Linked DNA regions of Bombyx mori. The protein of the gene in region 2 purifies or fractionates together with the protein of the main gene of each other region. This does not show direct contact. Links are inferred from orthologs where the notes say so. Each region holds a gene or a part of one and is shown on either strand. Other genes may lie near its edges. The genes, in order: rptor and raf.

Region 1 (9,290 bases), on a different chromosome or scaffold from region 2:
GTGTAGGAAATGAACACCTTTTAAATTGAGTCCTACAGTTCATTTATCTATTAAATCAGTTCTAAAAGATGTTGAACGTGACAACGTCATAAGAAAATACTGATGGAATGGTTTCATTTTTCAATTCTCGCAATTATCGTTGCTATAAACAATTGACACCACATTCACTTTTCACTGAACTTCATACTTGACGACAACATGTAAATGTATTATTGTATAGCAGCTGTCCACACGGATGCATCGCTCACTCAAGTAGGAGAGAGACAGATGTCGAACGCTGCCGAACGCGGAGGCCGATTGTGCCTCTTTGTCGCTCGTTGCGCGCTCTCGTTTGCACTTCAAGCCTTAAATGGAACGCCTCAGAGCGAGGTAACGCCGCATGAGTCATGTTTTTTCGTGCGGGCAGCCGGCTCCATCGAATTATAAGACGTTGTCACGTCAAAACCATTTTTTTTTTTAAAAATAATTCTCATTAGAATTTAGAAATATATATCTTTAACAAATAAAAATTATAGATCAACAAATGAGACCATTACTTTTATTAACTAGACGTGAATTAGCGCCTGACGAAAGGGTTCGATCGGACTCGCTCATTGGACCGTAGGATCACCCTTTCTATAGAGCAAATGTGCCATTAATACATCCGCTGTTCCTCAAATTAATATTTAAAATATTGACTGTTGATATAGAGATGAGTTGATTAAAGTGCCACTTACAGTTGGGGTCGGCCTGTTGCTTGTTTTTGTTCGTCGCTAGTTTGTCTTCGTTCGAGGAGAACTGATCAGAGACCAGTTGAGCTATACCTGGGATAGATTGTGATTACATTGCATTTGTAACGAAAAGATTGCTGCGGCGGTAAAGTTACTGCGAACAAATCACGCCCGGTCATACGGTCACAGATTAGGATTCCCTTTGGTCAGGATTTTTTTTTAAGAGATTTTATGACCTGGTAACTGAGACCTTGAAGTCATGTCTTATTTTCATTTATATTATTCATATTTTTATGAAAAATGATATTATGGAGTGAAATAAAATGAAGATAATTAATTTGAGACACTAATCAACTGGGATGAAATTAAATGAAATGAATTGAGATGAAATATAATCTCAGTAAAATGGTGGTCATTTACTAAGATTTTTTCAGTGGACTTTTTAGAGGATCCCGAGGAGTTACGTCCAGCGGCTTTGTTTCATTTTCCCACATTTGTGCACTTTCACAGATATTAAACAGTTAATAAACTACCATTATTACACATTTAAACCCGAGGAAACACTAAATAGACAAATTATTTTGTCACAACAAATCACACAACTTCACTCCTCGCGTTCCCGCCAAAAAGTCCCTTTGGTCAGCGTATCAGAGACTGACATAGATTATATATCGTGCCTTTAAATATATATAATAATATGGAGTAGGTATAGTAAGCGGCACGTAAGTTGGCAAGGTTTTGGTGTAGTGGGGGTAATGTCGCGCATAGTGCACATTGCAACAAAAAAATGGTCATTTTTATTGCCCGCATATAATTTAATTTAATTTTATTTTATTGTTTATTTGCCATAACTTATTTTTAAGCCTGTGTGTTTTGAAGAACGTTAAAGAAAAGAGAGGAATTCGTGAAGTGTATTAGGTGTTATAAATAAAATACAATTAAAAGTTACTATATAATTAAATTTTAATTGTTAGTAATATACTTAATATTAAAAATTATGTGTCGCCGTCGTCACTATCATTTTCTAATATTGCTACCCCTTGGATTAAATTTATTGTAGCACCTGAGCTGGTGGAAGGAGTTGGCTCCTCATCGTCGACATAACGAAGAGTCGCTGTCGTCACTGGCGTAAATAATAAAACGCTCAGTGACTGAATCTACTATATGGTAATTGGTATTTGGTCCTGGCATTGCAAACAAATTTAAAACAATAACACTCGTAACAAAAACTAAATTTAAACAATAATAACAACTCCAAACAAAAAAAAATATATAAAAAAAGGGTATCCTACAACTTAGTAGGCAAATGTGTAGCCGGGAGCGAACGGAACGCGGACGCGGTGCGGGAGGGGAGGGTCGACTGACGCACCAATCGCGCGCTCGGAACGGTGCTACGTCTTTCCCCGCGTCCCGCTTGACAACCAAAGAGACCTAAAAAATGACTTCTGCGCATCTAACGACTCTTGCCAAGTTACGTGCCGGGGACTATACTTCAGGATGAATAAACAATAAAATACTTAATTGTGTTCTCTGTAATATAATAAGAAAAGAACATTTAAAGCCCTTAATCTCTTTTAAATTTAATAACCAAAATTAAACTGTATTAATGAACTATCCAAACTGAGCTCTCTTTTTATTGAATAACTGACTTCACTACATGAAACTGAAGAAAAACCCTTTTTAAAACCTAAGGAGTTTTAAATAATAAAGGTTTTCGGCTTAATTAGCTACTACGTCACTGAGTCAGTTAATAAGCGCTTTTTTTTTACTGGTTACTGGAGCCCATAGATATCTACAACGTAAATGCGCCTACACATCTTAAGATATAAGTTCTAGTCTTAGTATAGTTACAACGGCTGCCCCAACTCACTTACAAATTACAATACCCCACAATACACTACCCCAAATTACGATACTGCATTTGGCCCCAAATGACGTTACAGGTAAATAAGTTGCGTTTTGTAGTATACGGGACAATGTTGAATGTACTGTGTCCCAGGCGCTAGATTCGTTCTAATACTATACTATGAGTAGTTCTTGTGCTGTGACTCTGAGGAAGGTCGGAGCCCTCTGCAAACGTGCGTTGCAGTCGCGTTCTTTTCATATCAACTTGACCGTAACATGTCTAGGGTGGCAGGTGTCTAGAGGGACAGGTGTTGGGGGAACAGGTGACTGGGGGACAGATGGCTGGGGGGACAGGCGATTGGGGGACAGATGGCTAGGGGGTCAGATGACTGGGGGGACAGGTGGCTGAGGGGACAGGTGGTTGCGGGTACGTACTGTAGATGGGCTGCGCGCGCGGCGGGGTGTACTGCGGCGGGGGGGACACGTCCAGCGCGCGCCACGCGCTCACCAGCGCCGGCTCCGTGCTGCTGCCCGACGGCCTGTGTGGCACCACCACATGTACGGGGACTCTTATACAACGGGTCGCTGAGAGCGGCTACAGGAGCTGACACTTGGGGACCGGTACCTGTAGACTGCCAGGTTGCCGGTGTGCGAGGCCACGGCCAGCAGCGCGTGCTGGTGCTCGTTGAGGTAGGCCAGCGAGGAGATGCGGCCCCACGCCGGGCGCCACGAGCCCACGCACAGCTTGGCCGCCGTGCCCCAGTCCCAGATACTGCGGAGAGCACCACCACGTGGTTAATGTCTACATCTAGGGGCGTTGCGAACCCGCGTACTTCGAAGCAAAGATTCGTTCCGGTTTGTGTGGCGAGACAGCCGGTATGTAATACAGTTGAGCTATGGACAACGATCACGTGGGGTGCGGCATTCATATTAATCCAATATCCAAGCTCCAGAACCAAACGACATCAGGTAGAAAATCATAGAAGTGGCAGCTTTTGGTCTGGCGGATAGAACGTCAGGGGGCGCAGGCCCAACCCTCCGTTGAGCCTTGACCCCAGGTCGACCATGAGCTCTGTCAATAATATTTATTGGAAATAAAAGGTTTGTGTTCCAAAGGACAATGACCACATATGTATGGAATGCCGTCTTATGTTGTTGCACAATAAATCTTTATTTATTATAGACTACGCTTTATATATTATCGAATAAAAGTGTTCGCTTCCCCATAATTAACCGGGTTTTCAAGTAATTAGACCAAAACGGACATAACCTATAAATACCTAGTCAGGTCATAAATTCTGTCACATGTTTAATGTAAAATAATTGAAACAAGTTTATTCATTATGTAACCATTCATATACCAAAATGAACTTAACAAAACATATATTCTTATAACACTAAAGTTTATTCAAAATGACCTCCGTGATTTTGAATACAGGCCTTCAATCTGCGCGGCCAGTCGTCTATCGCAGCACGAACGAGGTCCATGTCAATATCGGCGGCTGCCTTAATCAACGATGTCTTGAGTGACTCCAAATTGGGATGAGGCTTTGAGCACGCCTTTTCCTCCAAGTGTTGCCATATCTTGTAATCTAACGGATTCAAATCTGGACTGGAGGAGGGCTAGTCTTCGTGCCGGATGAAGTCGATTTCACGCGCCCCAGCCAGTCTTGTGTGCTCTTCGCTCTATAAGCTGGCGCCGAATCTTGTTGGAATACCCAGTGCCTGTTATTGAACATGGTATGAGAAACAGGTTCCACAAGGTTCGTCAGGACTGTATTTTGATACACAACTGCATTCATTTTTACAGCTTTCTCACAAAAATGTACCTCTGTTAAGCCCCAATAAGAAACTCCCAACCATACCATGAGCGAGGATGGAAAATGACCTCGTTGGACACGCGGAATACGGTTGCTCGCTTCTTCACTACTGTGTGGGTACACCTTATCATTTTGTTTGTTGTAGCTCTCTTCTACGGTAAAACTTTTTTCATCCGAAAAAAGAATTTCCCGATATTTTTTTCCCGCGTACCGCTTCAACAAAGCGCGGCATCTCTTCAGTCTCAGGTCCATTAGACGAGCATTCAAACGATGTCCTGTTTTTCTTCGATATGCCCGAAGCCCTAAGTCTTCATTTAACACCCTTTTCACCGTGGTTCTGCTTAACCCCATCTGAAGGGCCAACAGTTTCTGCTTACGTTTGGGATTTCTTTGAATTCGCGCCTTCACAGCTTTTATCACTGCTGGAGTCCTAACAGACCGAGGGCAACCACTTCTTGACCTGTCATCTACACTAGAGTCTTCATTGTATAGTTTGATGGTACGATAAACGAATCTTTTGGTTATATTCAAATTTTTCAGTATGTTAAAAATTTGAATTAGCGCGTAACCGCAAAGATGCAACGCAATAACTGCAACACGGTCTTCTTTAAGCGTCCACTCAATATGTAAAAATGAGTAAAATTCTAAAAGTATACATTTTTATTTTCATGAACAATTCGAAATTCGAATTCAATGAACTTTTTTGTGGCCAGCATTCTAAAAGAAAAGTTTTTACTGTGTGACAATACTTATGACCTGACTAGGTAATGTTAAGCCGACTTTTCCTGATTATCAGAGGCTCAAGCATCAGCATGATTACAGAATTACAGAGACTCTAGAGTTCATAAACAAAACATATACACGTCTTAAAACACTTTTAGGTACATAAAAACGTATGGCCGCTTGCTGGGTCACAGCCGCCGGCTCGTCTACGTCGATCGACAATAATATCATATAGCTTGACAGTTGCGTCTGGATGAAACGGAACCAGAAAAAATAATTATTTTAACTTAATAATAAAATCATAATTCAATACGTTGTAAAATATAATATAATATACCTAGTTATTTAACTGGACAAGATTTTGATATCATTTTTGTGATGATTGAGTCTAAAAACTCATGCATGAGTAATCTGTCTAAATAGAGAGAACAAAACGTCATGTCCCGACTTTAATACGAAAATGATGTTGTTGATTTACTATTAATCTTAAAATCATAATTCCCGTCCTGTGCAAAACATTTCTGTAGTGAAATTGATTCTGACTATCAGAATCAATTTCAGCGGGCTGACCTTCGTGCCCGGGGCGTGGCGCGTCCCAGCCCCTGTGTGGTCAGAGCGCGGAGGGCCCAATCTCGGCGGTCCGTGCTGGAGTCATGGTCCAGACGGCTGGCTGATCCTTCGGCCGGTCGTAGGACCCTCGAGGCGATTCGCCCGGTCCTTGTGGATTGGGTGAATCGTGACAGAGGACGCCTCACTTTCCGGCTCACGCAGGTGCTCACTGGGCATGGTTGCTTCGGTGAGTTCCTGCACCGGATCGGAGCCGAGCCGACGGCAGAGTGCCACCATTGTGGTTGCGACTTGGACACGGCGGAGCACACGCTCGTTGCCTGCCCCGCATGGGAGGGGTGGCGCCGTGTCCTCGTCGCAAAAACAGGAAACGACTTGTCGTTGCCGAGTGTCGTGGCATCGATGCTCGGCGACGACGAGTCGTGGAAGGCGATGCTCGACTTCTGCAAGTGCACCATCTCGCAGAAGGAGGCGGCGGGGCGCGTGAGAGACGCACAATCCCGCCGCCGTCGAGCGGGGGCCAGGGAGGCGGATCTCGCCCAAGCCCTGGCCCTTTAAATATTTCGGGTCCCCCTCACATGTCGGTCTGGGGACCGGCGAGGGGGGCCTAAGAAGACGACGTGCAAGCTGCTCTGCACGCGTTTTACGCAAGAGCATCCGGGTGATGGAAGGCCGGCTATCCTCGACTCACGCTGGTTCTGGTCCAGCGGGGTATTCCGTAGGATAGCTCACTCTAACCGGCGCCATCTAGGCGGGCTTCGGATAGCCTGCCGACCGAGAGGGCTGGTGGTCGTGGCGCCGACGACCGCCGGTCCGGCGTCCCGAGGGGGAGGGTGATGGGAGAGATGTGCTCCGCACTAAACGCTTCACTTTCCCCCCTCTGCCTCTTCATGAGTTCTGTCTCATGCGAGGTTTGGACGTTGGTTGTTGAGCGACAGGAGGTTTTAGTCAGTTCGACTCTGACATGCCCCGCCCTCCATCCCCAGTGGAGGGCGGAAGTCCGGCGATTTCCTCCTGACAAAAAAAAATAAAAAAAAAATAAAAGGGAAATTGATTGTAAAAAATTACAAAACTATTTCAATGTTATTTTGATTCTGCAAGATGCAACTTTGTTAGACGACTTTTGGTCATTCTCCTTTCAATGAATTTTAAGATATTTAGTTCGTAACTGTTGGCAGTACTGAATGAAATAACAAATTCAAAGAGAACTCCTTACGTTTATGTGAACCTGGTACTTTGACAAATTCAATTTATTTAGTTAAGCAGATCTAATCATATGTAACCGAACAGATTCGTGTGGTCGCTTTTCATCGACAAATGACCACGGCGCCACAGAAGTTTTCACTTCATAAAGTTACAAGTACGGCACGTCACCACCTCGTCCCTCACATTATTTACCAGCCCCACGGACACATCTTGCATTATTTTTTTTTCGGGCTGGGGGCCTAGCCTCCTACAAGGTCCACGCGTCTAGGGGGGGCGCGGGGTATGTGGGACTCGACGATCTGCAAGGTCTTGGGAGCAGACCGCGGGCCCAAGGAATTTTAGGGCCCTACCCACTAAACGACTCCCCTACATTCTTAGACCCGATGTCCGATCTCCATCCGGGGTCCAAACCCGGTCAGAGTAGGGGGATTCCCGCGGTCAACACTACAACCAGACACGCGGCGCCACCCCGAGGACACCCGACCGACGGGTACCCTTCTTGCATAATCCAACCTTTATGGAAGGTAATCACAGCACGGTTGTGACACATTACGTACCCGAAGTTATCCTTGGAGGCGACGGCCAGATGCTGGTCGTAGGGGTGGAAGAGCACCACGGCGGGCGGCAGCGGGCAGCGCGAGTGGAAGGCCTGCGTCTCCAGCCGGGACACGCGGCACGCGGCTGCACCCACATGCCACATGCATCACGCAATCATCACAGTGTTCGATACGTTTCATACTTTTCAATCGCATTCATAAATGTTTAAATGTTAGACGATGTCTGAAAGTGGCACGTGTGACAGAGAAGTTGAGAAGTGCGCGTTTGGGATTGTATGGACATGTGATGAGACGAAATGAAAATAAGGTTGGTAAGAAAGTTAACTGTGAATGAGGATATTGAGAAAGAGGAAACCTAAGAGGAAATGGATGGATTACGTGAAAGTCGATATGTGTAAGAGAGTGAGCGAAGAAATAGTATATGATAGAGTATGGAAGGAGAAAATATGTTGGGCCGACTCCAGGTGACTGTCAGAAGGGCAGGAGAATGATGATGATGATGATGAGATAAATGTTTAAACAGTAACTCGGGAGTTCGCCTTTTTTTTTATTGCCCTTGCAGACGAGCATACGGAACACCTAATGGTGAGTGGTTATCGTCGCCCATGGACTTCAGCAATGCCAGGGGCAGAGCCAAGCCGCTGCCTACAGATCGCCTCTCGATCTCTGTGAGGGTCGGTACCTCTGGCCTCCCTGCGCAGCTCGCGGTTGCGCGCGAGGGTCCAGCGGCGCTGGTGGTGCTCGCGGCTCTCGCAGTCCGGGCGCGCGGGCTCGGGCCGGGAGAACGCGCCGCCCGCCCACTCCACGAACTCGGTGCTCACTATCGCCTTCTTGCTCGTACATGTCTGACCTGGACAGCGACAACATACAAAATTCAAAATTCAAAATCATTTATTTCAACTTAGATGTCAGTATGACACACTTGTTGAATGTCAAAATACAAATAACAATGTTAACTCTACCACCGGTTCCAAAAAAAGCCACAGTCCTGAGAAGAACCGGCGAAACAAACTCAGCGGGCTTTTTTTTTGTTTTTTTCTCAAATATTTTCTTTTTTTAAATAAATAGAAATATTCACAATAAAAGAAAAAACAAGTCAAAAAAAAATACAATTAAAAAAAAATTAATAATAATGAAAAATGAAAAGGCCAGGAGCGAGCGCCTCATTCCCACGTAGTGCCATCTAGTAAATAATCCTTAACTTTATAATATGCCTTGTTGCACAAACGTTCCTTAACAGTTTTCTTAAATCTATGAACAGGTAGTAGTTGAACGTTTAGTGGGATCTTGTTGAAAAGCTGTACACCCAGCTCCCTAAAAGAGTTGCTTATTTTCTTAATTCGAGCCGCCGGCAACGCAAGCCTATGTTTGTTCCTAGTGTTCACATTGTGCAAATCGCAGACTCTGGGGAATTCTTCAATGTTTTTACGCACGTACAATAAATTTTCAATACCATAGAGAGGTGCCAGTTAATGAAGATGTTTTACTGGTGGTAGGACCTCTGGTAAGTCCGCGGGTGGGTACCACCACCCTGCCTGTTTCTGCCGTGAAGGAGTAATGCGTTTCGGTTTGAAGGGTGGGGTAGCCGTTGTAACTATACTTGAGACCTTAGAACTTATATCTCAAGGTGGGTGGTGCGTTTACGTTGTGGATGTCTATGGGCTCCAGTAATCACTTAACACCAGGTGGGCTCTGAGCGCGTCCACCCATCTAAGCAATAAAAAAAAAAGATGTAGACACATCATGGAGGGTAAACTTACTAGAATTAGATGAGAGTGAATCTTTGTGCCGTTCTCGGTCCCCTCCAGAGTCGCGGTCTCTGTTCGCAACAGACTCCTCGGATATGGTGTGTGGCAGCCCCG
Region 2 (9,371 bases):
CCGCAGCGTGCCCGTCGGAGACGTCTGCGGCACAGTTGTATTCTCGTGTTCAACCTTTTTACTGATTGTAGGGCCTCTTGTGAGTCCGCACCACCAGGAGGGTGGGGTAGATGCCACCACCCTGCCTATTTCTGCCGTGAAGCAGTAATACATTCCGGTTTGAAGGGCGGCGCAGCCGTTGTATCTATACTGATACCTTAGAACTCATATCTCAAGTGAATTTTTATTATTTTTATATTATTGCTCTTGTAGGCAGACGAGCATACGGCCCACCTGATGGTGAGTGGTTACCGTCGCCCATGGACTTCAGCAATGCCAGGAGGCAGAGCCAAGCCGCTGCCTACCTACATTTACGTTGTAGATGTCTACGGACTCCGCTAACTACTTAACACCAAGTGAGCTGTGAGCTCGTCCACCCAGCTAAGCAATAAATAAATATATACACTTCACATTACATGACCATATGTGTACGCGGTTTTATCCATTGGGTTTGAGTATATTAGATTTCTTCGAGAACTATTCGCATAGCTTTTTCTAATGTTATAGATTCAAAGCTCAGGCTCTTACTCCATGACCAGACCTCTTTCGTGTTTATATGATTACCTACATCTTAATTGTTTGTCAATTTAAATAGCAGTAATGTAAATGTTATAAGTGTGCAATAAGAGGATGATGTGTGTGGTGTAGTGTCGAGTGTCGTGATGCGTCACCTGCGTGCTGTGGCTGTGCGGATGGTCGCTGTCGTCCGCCTCGTCCTTGCTGGGCCCGCTCGAGCTCAGATAGTTCGACGACTGCGTGGAGTTGTCGCTGCCGTGCTGTACGCCCAGCAACAATATAACGACTTCACTAATATTAAGACAGTGTTGTTTTTTTTAAGCTATTGCATAGATTTTATCGCGGGCCTGAGCGCGGCGACCGAATCATGAAATTCCGTAACGAAAAAAATCTTACACCCCTCACTCCGCCTACCATGTAGCTCGCGTTCAACACATTCACACGTTGCGCTTGTGTAGTGTTCGTGAATAAGCGCGTGGCGTGACGTCACACTGCATGCGCATCATGAAAAGTCTGCCCATCTCTCTCTCACGCGGTCTAGCTTATGAGTGTGAAGGGGACAGTTAAGGTTTTGCTTTTATTAATATTTAATATAGCGTCTTCTTGTTTTATTATTGTTTTAATATTAAATTGTCATTGTCTAATTATAATTGCATAAGTTGATAAAAAATGCTATGCAATAGCTTTATCGCGGCAGTTCCCGATTGCCACACGTTTTTTTTTTATTGCTTAGATGGGTGGACGAGCTCACAATCCACCTGGTATTAAGTGGTTACTGGACCCCACAGACATCCACAACGTAAATGCGCCACCCACCTTGAGATATAAGTTCTAAGATCTCAAGTATAGTTACAACGGCTGCCCCACCCTTCAAACCGAAACGCATTACTGCTTCACGGCAGAAATAGGCAGGGTGGTGGTACCCACTCGCGCGGCCTCACAAGAGGTCCTCTACCACTAGTAAAAATTATTATTTTAAATGATCAAATGCTGTTTTGATAAATATCAGAAAAATGTAGGGTAGACGCTGTAATGCCAAAGTATGAAATGGTGGTACGTCAGAGTCGGGCCGTCACTTAGTCAGTCGGAACGAAACTGTCAGTTTAACCTGTCATTGTGAAAATTATTTGTTTAGAGTTTCAATAATTCTGCTAATTCCAGTTTAAGAGCGGTAATGTACTAAGTACAACGGTATGCGGTCCCTCGTGCAGCGTCACGCCTCCGCTGATTAATAATCGAGTTACATTTCGTTTATGAAACAGAAGAATAGATTATTTTGATGTTTTCATATATATTTTCGAATAAAATTATGTTAAATAAATAATAATACTAAGCGAGGGTTCGTATTCTATGATTGTCGCTGAACTTTAGAGTTAGTCTAACTAATTGTTACGAACGTTAGTCTCACTAGAACCTCTGTACCTGTATCCACACCAGTGTGCCTAGTGCGAGTTTTTTGAACGTTCTCGATAGCGTAAAAGTCAACTCTATGCAGTTAGAACAGCGCCCCTAGCGGCAAACGTAGGCAAACATTCCAACTCCATATAACTGTGAGTTAACTTTTACGCTAACGAAAACGTTAAAAAACTCGCACTAAGCACACAGGACCATAATTGTGTTGATGGTTAGAAAAACTATATTACCTGACTGTAGCATTTTTGATGTTCAGCTAGCGTCAAAGGCTTCTGCACCATGTTGATGCAAACATTTGGAGCAGAATTTGATCGGTCTTGCTGGTTCAATGAACGTGGGTGTGGTTGTCTGGTGGACAAAATAAACAGATTACAGACATTAACAATAGAGAATTGTATAACGTATGACACAGAGAGTTGACACAAAAATGAAGAAAAACTAGTTTTTTAAATTAGTGTATATATTAATGGAACCAAAACTTGTCAAATGTACATACTGAGATCTTAGAACTTATATCTCAAGGTGGATGGCGCATTTACGTTGTGGATGTCTATGGGGTCCAGTAACCACTTAACACCAGGTGGGCTGTGAGCTCATCCATCCATCTAAGCAATAAAAAAAAAAACGCCAACTCTTTTTTCCTACCTATTCGTTGGTAGTATACAGGGCAATTCCAGCTACGATCGGACGGGTAGGTGAGCTCACGGGTTCAACCTGACAGAATTTGCTAACACCAGCCCTAGCAAGAGCAGTGCTTCGCTGAATCTACCACCGGATCGGAATAGCGACCCACCGACAAGATCTGGCGAGAAACTCAGTAGGCTGTATCTATGGGTTAGTTCACTCGTGGAATCGACGAGTTCCACGAGAACCGGTGCTGGAGGCCTAAAAGCACCGAGAGTAAATCCGGTGGATCCGACAAGACATGTTTTGGGCGACGGCGGTTTTGCATTGACCCGTCGCTTGGGCAGGATAAGTAATTAGCGGCGGTACACACTAAGCGGATTATCGTGTCGCGCCGCTTTGTCGAAGTAGTGTTCTGACACTACCTTAAGATGCTTACGTATAGGTTCTAAATTTAGGTCGTCGTGAAGGTCAACATTCCTCACGTACCACGATGCTCCGGCGGCTATCCTGCAGAAACGGGATTGGATGACCTCAAGAGAGTTTATGTGCATGCGCGCCCCGTGAGCGAACACTAAGCTTGCATAGGTGTCGACGGAAATTTTATGCTACTCACTTGCTTTGGTCTCCTCTCATCCCAGGATGGTACCCGAAGTGGGGAGGATAGTGTAGAATGCCAGCTTGAGTTTCTGGGTTCTGTGCCAACAGTGCTGCATAATATGTATCTGTCATACGTACCTGTCGAAACGAAATACAAATCATTATAATTATCATGATTACAAGTCTTAATAACGAAAACGGTTAGTATATAATATTGTTTTTTTTTGCTTATACTAAATATGCTACTAGCGTCAAGATATACTAGATACACCGAACGTTTAGGCGATCTCAAGGGATTAAACCTGACGATTTTGCTAACACTAACTCTAGCAAGGGCAGACTTCGCTGAGAAGATCCAGCGAGGAACTCAGTGGGCTGTTTCTGTAGTTATATTTTCGCGACGAACCCTTCGTCGCAATGGAGGGGTCTGACGAGAACGGTGACTGGTGGTTGGAGTATCTAAAAGCACCGATAGTGGATCGGGAGGATTCGAGGTGACGTGTTTTGGGCGACGGTGCTTGTTTACCATTTGGTCTGCAGGCTCGGTTATGTTTACTCATGTTAAGTAACAATATAAAAACATATATAGCTTTCCAATGTCAAACCCTGGAATGGAAACTTAACAGCGATTACCACCTAATTGGTTAAAGCCTTTTAGGGTAAGTAAACTAAATTACTGTGCCACTGGGTTGATTTGAAATTATTGTTTAAGATGTTTTGCATTATGAGATGAAAGTATACTTCTTTTTGTCTCAATCAGTCTGATGTTTGGGACACTTAAAACACAGTAAGCAATCCAGTAAATGTTTTTTATAAATTCTATAGGGAGCCCCACTTCCTTCAAAGTTAGTAAGTAAGTAGTTATTAATTACTATTTCATATCAATAGGCAAAGAAAAAGTTCAGTACCTTATTCTGTTTCATAGGTCAAACTGTTCTTTGGTTTAGTAATGATTATAAAACATAGAAAGACATTATAAGAAAAGAAATACAAAATACTTAACAACAAATAGATAAAATTACAACATAAACCTAGAGTTTGTAATAATATAAACTAACCTGATGGCACATACTAGGAACTTTATCAGCGCATCTCTGGTGAAACTTGAAGTTACACTGCGAGCAGTAAAATCCATTGAAGAGTAGTCGCCTGCAGCACTCACAGAAAGCTAATGTGAAGAATGTCTTACGGGCGAATTGATGTGAGATGTGAGTCATTATAGGTAGCCCGTCAAGAGTCCGAACTGTTACCTGAGCAATCAACGGGATAAACATTAGCATTGATTATCAATAAAAAAGTAATCACTCATGAGTAATCACTCTTAATTCAAAAAACAAAAACAACGAGCAATATTAAAGTTGTGTGTTGATTTGATGTTTGATATGGCCCATTACTGAGTTAATGAGAAAATTACTATGAGTTTATTCATCTTGCTCCTGAAGGTTTGGAACTAGTTAATATCAGAATTGGGATACTGTATATGAATGTAGTGGAATATCTATCAAGTGCCACCAGATGCCATCTTCAGATTGTTTATAGAAGTGGACATTTTGACCACACTTAAAAGGTCATGTTCATCCACAGAATATGTCCTTGGTAAAAAGATGTAATGGGCAAAAGTATATAAGATCATATATGAGGTCTATAAAATCAAAGGCAGCTAAACACCATAATGTCGTAAAATGTATTAACAATGGCTCTATCTTATTTAGTTAGTTGAACATGCTTTAGTGTTTTCATGTTATAACAAATGCAGCTTAATCTCTAACAAATTCAGTTCAAAAAAGTTAAGTTTACTCTGCATTAAGTACTATTAAACGAAGTTTTATCATTTGAAATTCAGATTATTAGTAATATTCTCATTCTTTATAAATATGTTTTAAAATAAAGAATATTGTAGCTATACAAACAAAGTTATTTCAGATTCTCAAACCGGGAGTGTTGCTAACACTGGCCCTAGCAAGAGCAGTACTTCGATGGATCGGGAGGATCCGTAATGACGTGTTTAGGGCCGATTTTTGTAGTTTACCTGAATATTTGACAGACTTGGATATAGCTGCCTTTGATTTTATAGGCCTCATATATATTTTTTATTAAATATATATTTATCACCATTCTGAGTAGGTATTTATTTTAATTCAACTATTCACAAAAATAAAGATTGCAATAAGATTTTTTATCATCGACCCCAGTTTACAGTTTATGGAATCATACCAGTTTTTTTTCACAATCCTAGAAGTGAATTATTTTTATACACATTTTCCTGACTGTTTATGAAAAAGTAAATGTTAAAATGAGTAAAAAATCAGGGAAAAACATGTTGTAAGCTTTATAAGTAATTAGTAGTTATTGTTTTATTAGTAATTAAGGGATGATTAGTGTACACTGACCTCTTCTGCATCAATAGTGGTTATATCAATGTCCCACGGTATAACTTGGTTGTAGCCCGTCCTCACAACCTCACACATCTCGCAGGTCAGGTTCCGCAATTTGAGCGCTTTGGAGAGAGCCACACGCAGTGTCACTCCCTCTTTGACCTGTACACTGGTTCGCTGCTGGTTCGGAAGATGGGCTCGCAGAAAAACTTTCCGCTGACGAGTTAGAGTGTCAAACTTTTTTGAGTCATCAAAAAACGAGTACTCTTCGCTATGATCTGGAGAATCGGTTTGTAATAATTCTCGTAAATGCCTCTCCCGCTGCTCCAGCGTATGTAGCTTTGACGTTAGCTCCTGATACTCAATTAGATATAACGAAGGTGGGTGCTGGAAACCAGCGAATTTAGCATTCAGCGCATCGATGTTGTGGCGAGTCACGTTTATAATGTTCTGTATATTCCTGATCTCGTACTCCGGATCCGCAGTCTCATCACTGTCCGTCGACGTCGACATGTTGTCACTGTTAAGCGATAGCGCGGGTATATTTCCATTAATTCGTGCACAATTTTCTTTTTCGCTAGTTACTGCCATTTCTTTTTCAATATTTTTTTATTTCATGCGCAGACTCGCCGCGCAAGACATGATTGTAATTGCCATTATTCAAAAAGAAAATTCTACTATTCCACTTCATTCTTCTACCCTACAATTTAATAAAATTCATAATTTCGTAGTCTCAAGTTGGTCACAAAAAAATGAATTTTGGGTTCGGATTCGTTACGCAGTGTACTTCGTTCATCTTGGAAGTTGTTCGCGAACACGTATACGGTTAGTAATTTACGCTTTTCCTACCTTGCGCTATCTGTTTACAAGATTTTAGCTCATACTACGTACCTAATTACTACCCTAACACAGATACACATTTAAGTGTATTCCTCCTCCTTGCATCGTATTCGTCAATGCTGAGAGAGTACCCTTCTGTATAATCACTTTCTCATGCACGATCTTTCTCCATCTGTTTTTAAATTCCCTTCATTTCAAAACAAGAAAAAAAACTATTTGTTGTTGTATATTCCCACCTTTTATCGAAAAATCCAAAATTACTTACATGACAATGAATTTTATTTCATACGTGTCATTTCACTTTCTGTACTCAAACTTGGCTTTTTTTAGAAAAGGATTAAACTTATCGGTTAGTTCCCTTTGCCTGCTTTTACCCTAACAAAAAAAACTTTATTGGTTTTATTTATTACCTTTGAACATGCTAAAGGAACTTAGTTCATAACTCCAGTTTTTTGTACATTCGAGCTTAAAACTAATTCACTTCAACTAATTTCAGCTTAAAAGTACTACTAAATGCTGAACAATTCTGAGAAGCCACATCCAGCAAATAAAATAATTCCCCCAATATATATCGCTCCCTGCGTTCCCGCCAAAAATCACTAATCCCTACGCTTTTCTATGCAATGCGCTCACATGATGGCGATGATTTTCCAAGCCCAACGATGCCAGGCATAGATAGATTACCCATATCTTAGTATTCGAGATGCCAGGTGTAGGTATTATAATTGCAGTAAATTTACTGTTATTTTTTTGCTATCACCGTCTACTGTATTGCAAAAATAGTGTATTAAAATATTTATGAATTTCAGGCTTAAAAACTTTTAGACAAAAAGCAGTGTAGGCATGTGAATATATGCAGAGGGAAATCCCCGCGAAACAGTTTCTTTCAATTGAATTAATGGTATCTTCTGTACTTTCATGGGCACTAAAGATTTATAGACAATTATTATTCTACAAAACATAATTTAACAAAAAGTAAATCAATTGGTACTTATTTTCCTTTAGATTTGTTTTAAAAAATTGCGGTAGCACTGTGAGATTCTTATCTTTACGTAACTTCCTTACACATTTCGGTCGTATTAATTCAAGGTTATTCAGCTAAACAAATAATCGGTTGGAGAAAGTGATAATGAAGGATTCCCTACACCTAAAAGAAAAATAAATTATAAACAATCCCGCGATAAGTTACGGCATAAAAATTTCAAAGTGTGTGTGACATGATTAATATCCATAAGGGGATTAATGTGTCTCTAGCGACACATCGATGATTGCTAACATGTGGGCATTGAAACGCCACAGTGAATTGCACAAACGTATCAAGGCATTTCGGATCCTCCCGATCCACTATCGGCGCTTTTAGGTACCTCAAGCACCGGTCAATGTGCTCGTCGAACTCGTCGCTTGCGACTAAGGGCTCGGCAAATTAACCCTCAGACACACACATTCCACTGAGTTTCTCTCCGGATCTTCTCAGAGAGTCGCGTTTCCGATCCGGTGGTAGATTCTGCGAAACCATGTTCTTGCCAGAGCTAGTGTTAGCAACTTCGTCAGGTTAGAGCCCCGTAAGCTCACCTACTCGCCCGGTGTTGAACTGGCATAACCCCTCAAGCATAGGCAGGAAAACAACACAAACGTATTTTTAAAAGTCAAACTTCGGAACTGCGGAAATAAAGTTAGCAACTTTTGTGACAGCTTGGAAGTTAGAGTATCTAGTGGGGTCATAGATTATCTAATTGAGATTTGCTGCAAACATTTTATGGTTCTGAGATTGCAAATAATGAAACTCAAAGCAGATCATTATAAATCAAACCCAGAAAATTATAATTTGCATAATTACTGGTGGTAGGTAGGATGTCTTAGATTTTGTTGTATTTCAACAAATATTGTAAATTTTTATAGCTTATGATCAAAATGGTTACAATACAGATCATATTTAAAGTAAACCATCAACACTGGTAGATCCTGTATTAAATGAAGTTTACCTTAAGATCATTGAAGTTACACTTTAAACAAGTTATATTGGTGGAATACTATACATAGAGCACAAAGGAATGTATGTATTTTATGATTCTTTGAAAGGAAAGAATCATTTATCTATATTTTAAATAAAAATGACTTCAAGGCGAAATAAAAATTTAAACTAAAATAGTGTGCATTAAAAAGTGTATTGGTACTTTCACTTGTTGTTGTGGTAACAGTACAGAATCTTAAAATAAGTATTCTTATATAACTAAAGCCTTATATAAAATTATAACATATCGAAGTCATCTCTCTGTAAAAGAAAAAAAAAGAAATATTAGTTTAAGTTTCTTCCGTTTTATCTATGCAAACACATCCATGTCTTTGTTAATGACAATGTTATAAATAATTGATCCCTATATAATGTTTTCATTTTTTTTTAATTTCATATCAAAACCAGTGTGACATTATGCTGTGGACAAGTTCTAAAATTTATTTAATGCATTACTGCTTTCCATTTAACAAAAGTTGTTTTTCACAACTATTCTAAACCTCTACGCAGAGCTTTTTCACAATTATATTATCAATATGTAAGTAAACTTAGAAATATGAATAAACATTAAAAAGTTTAATGAATGTGTATTGTGTATACTAACCATTTCATTATATTCCAGAACATGTTTTCTTATTGCTGAACCATCAACCCATGTAACAAAGTCCTCCAGTGATCTGTTGACAAGGAATGCAGGATCCTTCACTACTTCAGGTCCCACTCTTACATGTCCTTGTTCAATAAACTTTGTGGCTTCTTTAATAGTTTCTGACATTTTATCTGTGCATTTATAAACATCAATAATTATAAATGACATTTATTAATAAAAATGCAAATTCCAAGAAATATGTTATTGTAATGTTTATTGAAACAAGTGATACTCACTTCGAACCATCAACACAGGCAGCCTTCGCCTACAGAAAGAACTGGCAGAGACATTAGTGGCCAAGGCA

What was found.
Region 1: the proteins of raf (region 2) and rptor purify together in Homo sapiens (affinity purification with mass spectrometry; 3 studies listed by BioGRID and IntAct, with this or other methods). This does not show direct contact. The link is inferred for Bombyx mori from reciprocal best matches to the Homo sapiens genes BRAF and RPTOR.

The regions. Positions count from the first base shown.
Region 1 is NC_085123.1:802,355-811,644, reverse strand, and holds part of rptor (regulatory-associated protein of TOR), read right to left. Parts: coding exon 9,189-9,290; intron 8,279-9,188; coding exon 8,111-8,278; intron 7,553-8,110; coding exon 7,429-7,552; intron 3,328-7,428; coding exon 3,181-3,327; intron 3,095-3,180; coding exon 2,991-3,094; intron 804-2,990; coding exon 717-803; intron 1-716. UniProt on the Homo sapiens protein: Component of the mechanistic target of rapamycin complex 1 (mTORC1), an evolutionarily conserved central nutrient sensor that stimulates anabolic reactions and macromolecule biosynthesis to promote cellular biomass generation and growth.
Region 2 is NC_085121.1:974,524-983,894, forward strand, and holds the start of raf (raf kinase, effector of Ras), read right to left. Parts: upstream 6,353-9,371; 5' UTR 6,159-6,352; coding exon 5,583-6,158; intron 4,443-5,582; coding exon 4,251-4,442; intron 3,331-4,250; coding exon 3,209-3,330; intron 2,317-3,208; coding exon 2,199-2,316; intron 816-2,198; coding exon 711-815; intron 25-710; coding exon 1-24. Other genes in the region: U3 small nucleolar ribonucleoprotein protein IMP3, read right to left, coding at 8,656-8,679, 9,023-9,198, 9,304-9,371. UniProt on the Homo sapiens protein: Protein kinase involved in the transduction of mitogenic signals from the cell membrane to the nucleus. Phosphorylates MAP2K1, and thereby activates the MAP kinase signal transduction pathway. Phosphorylates PFKFB2.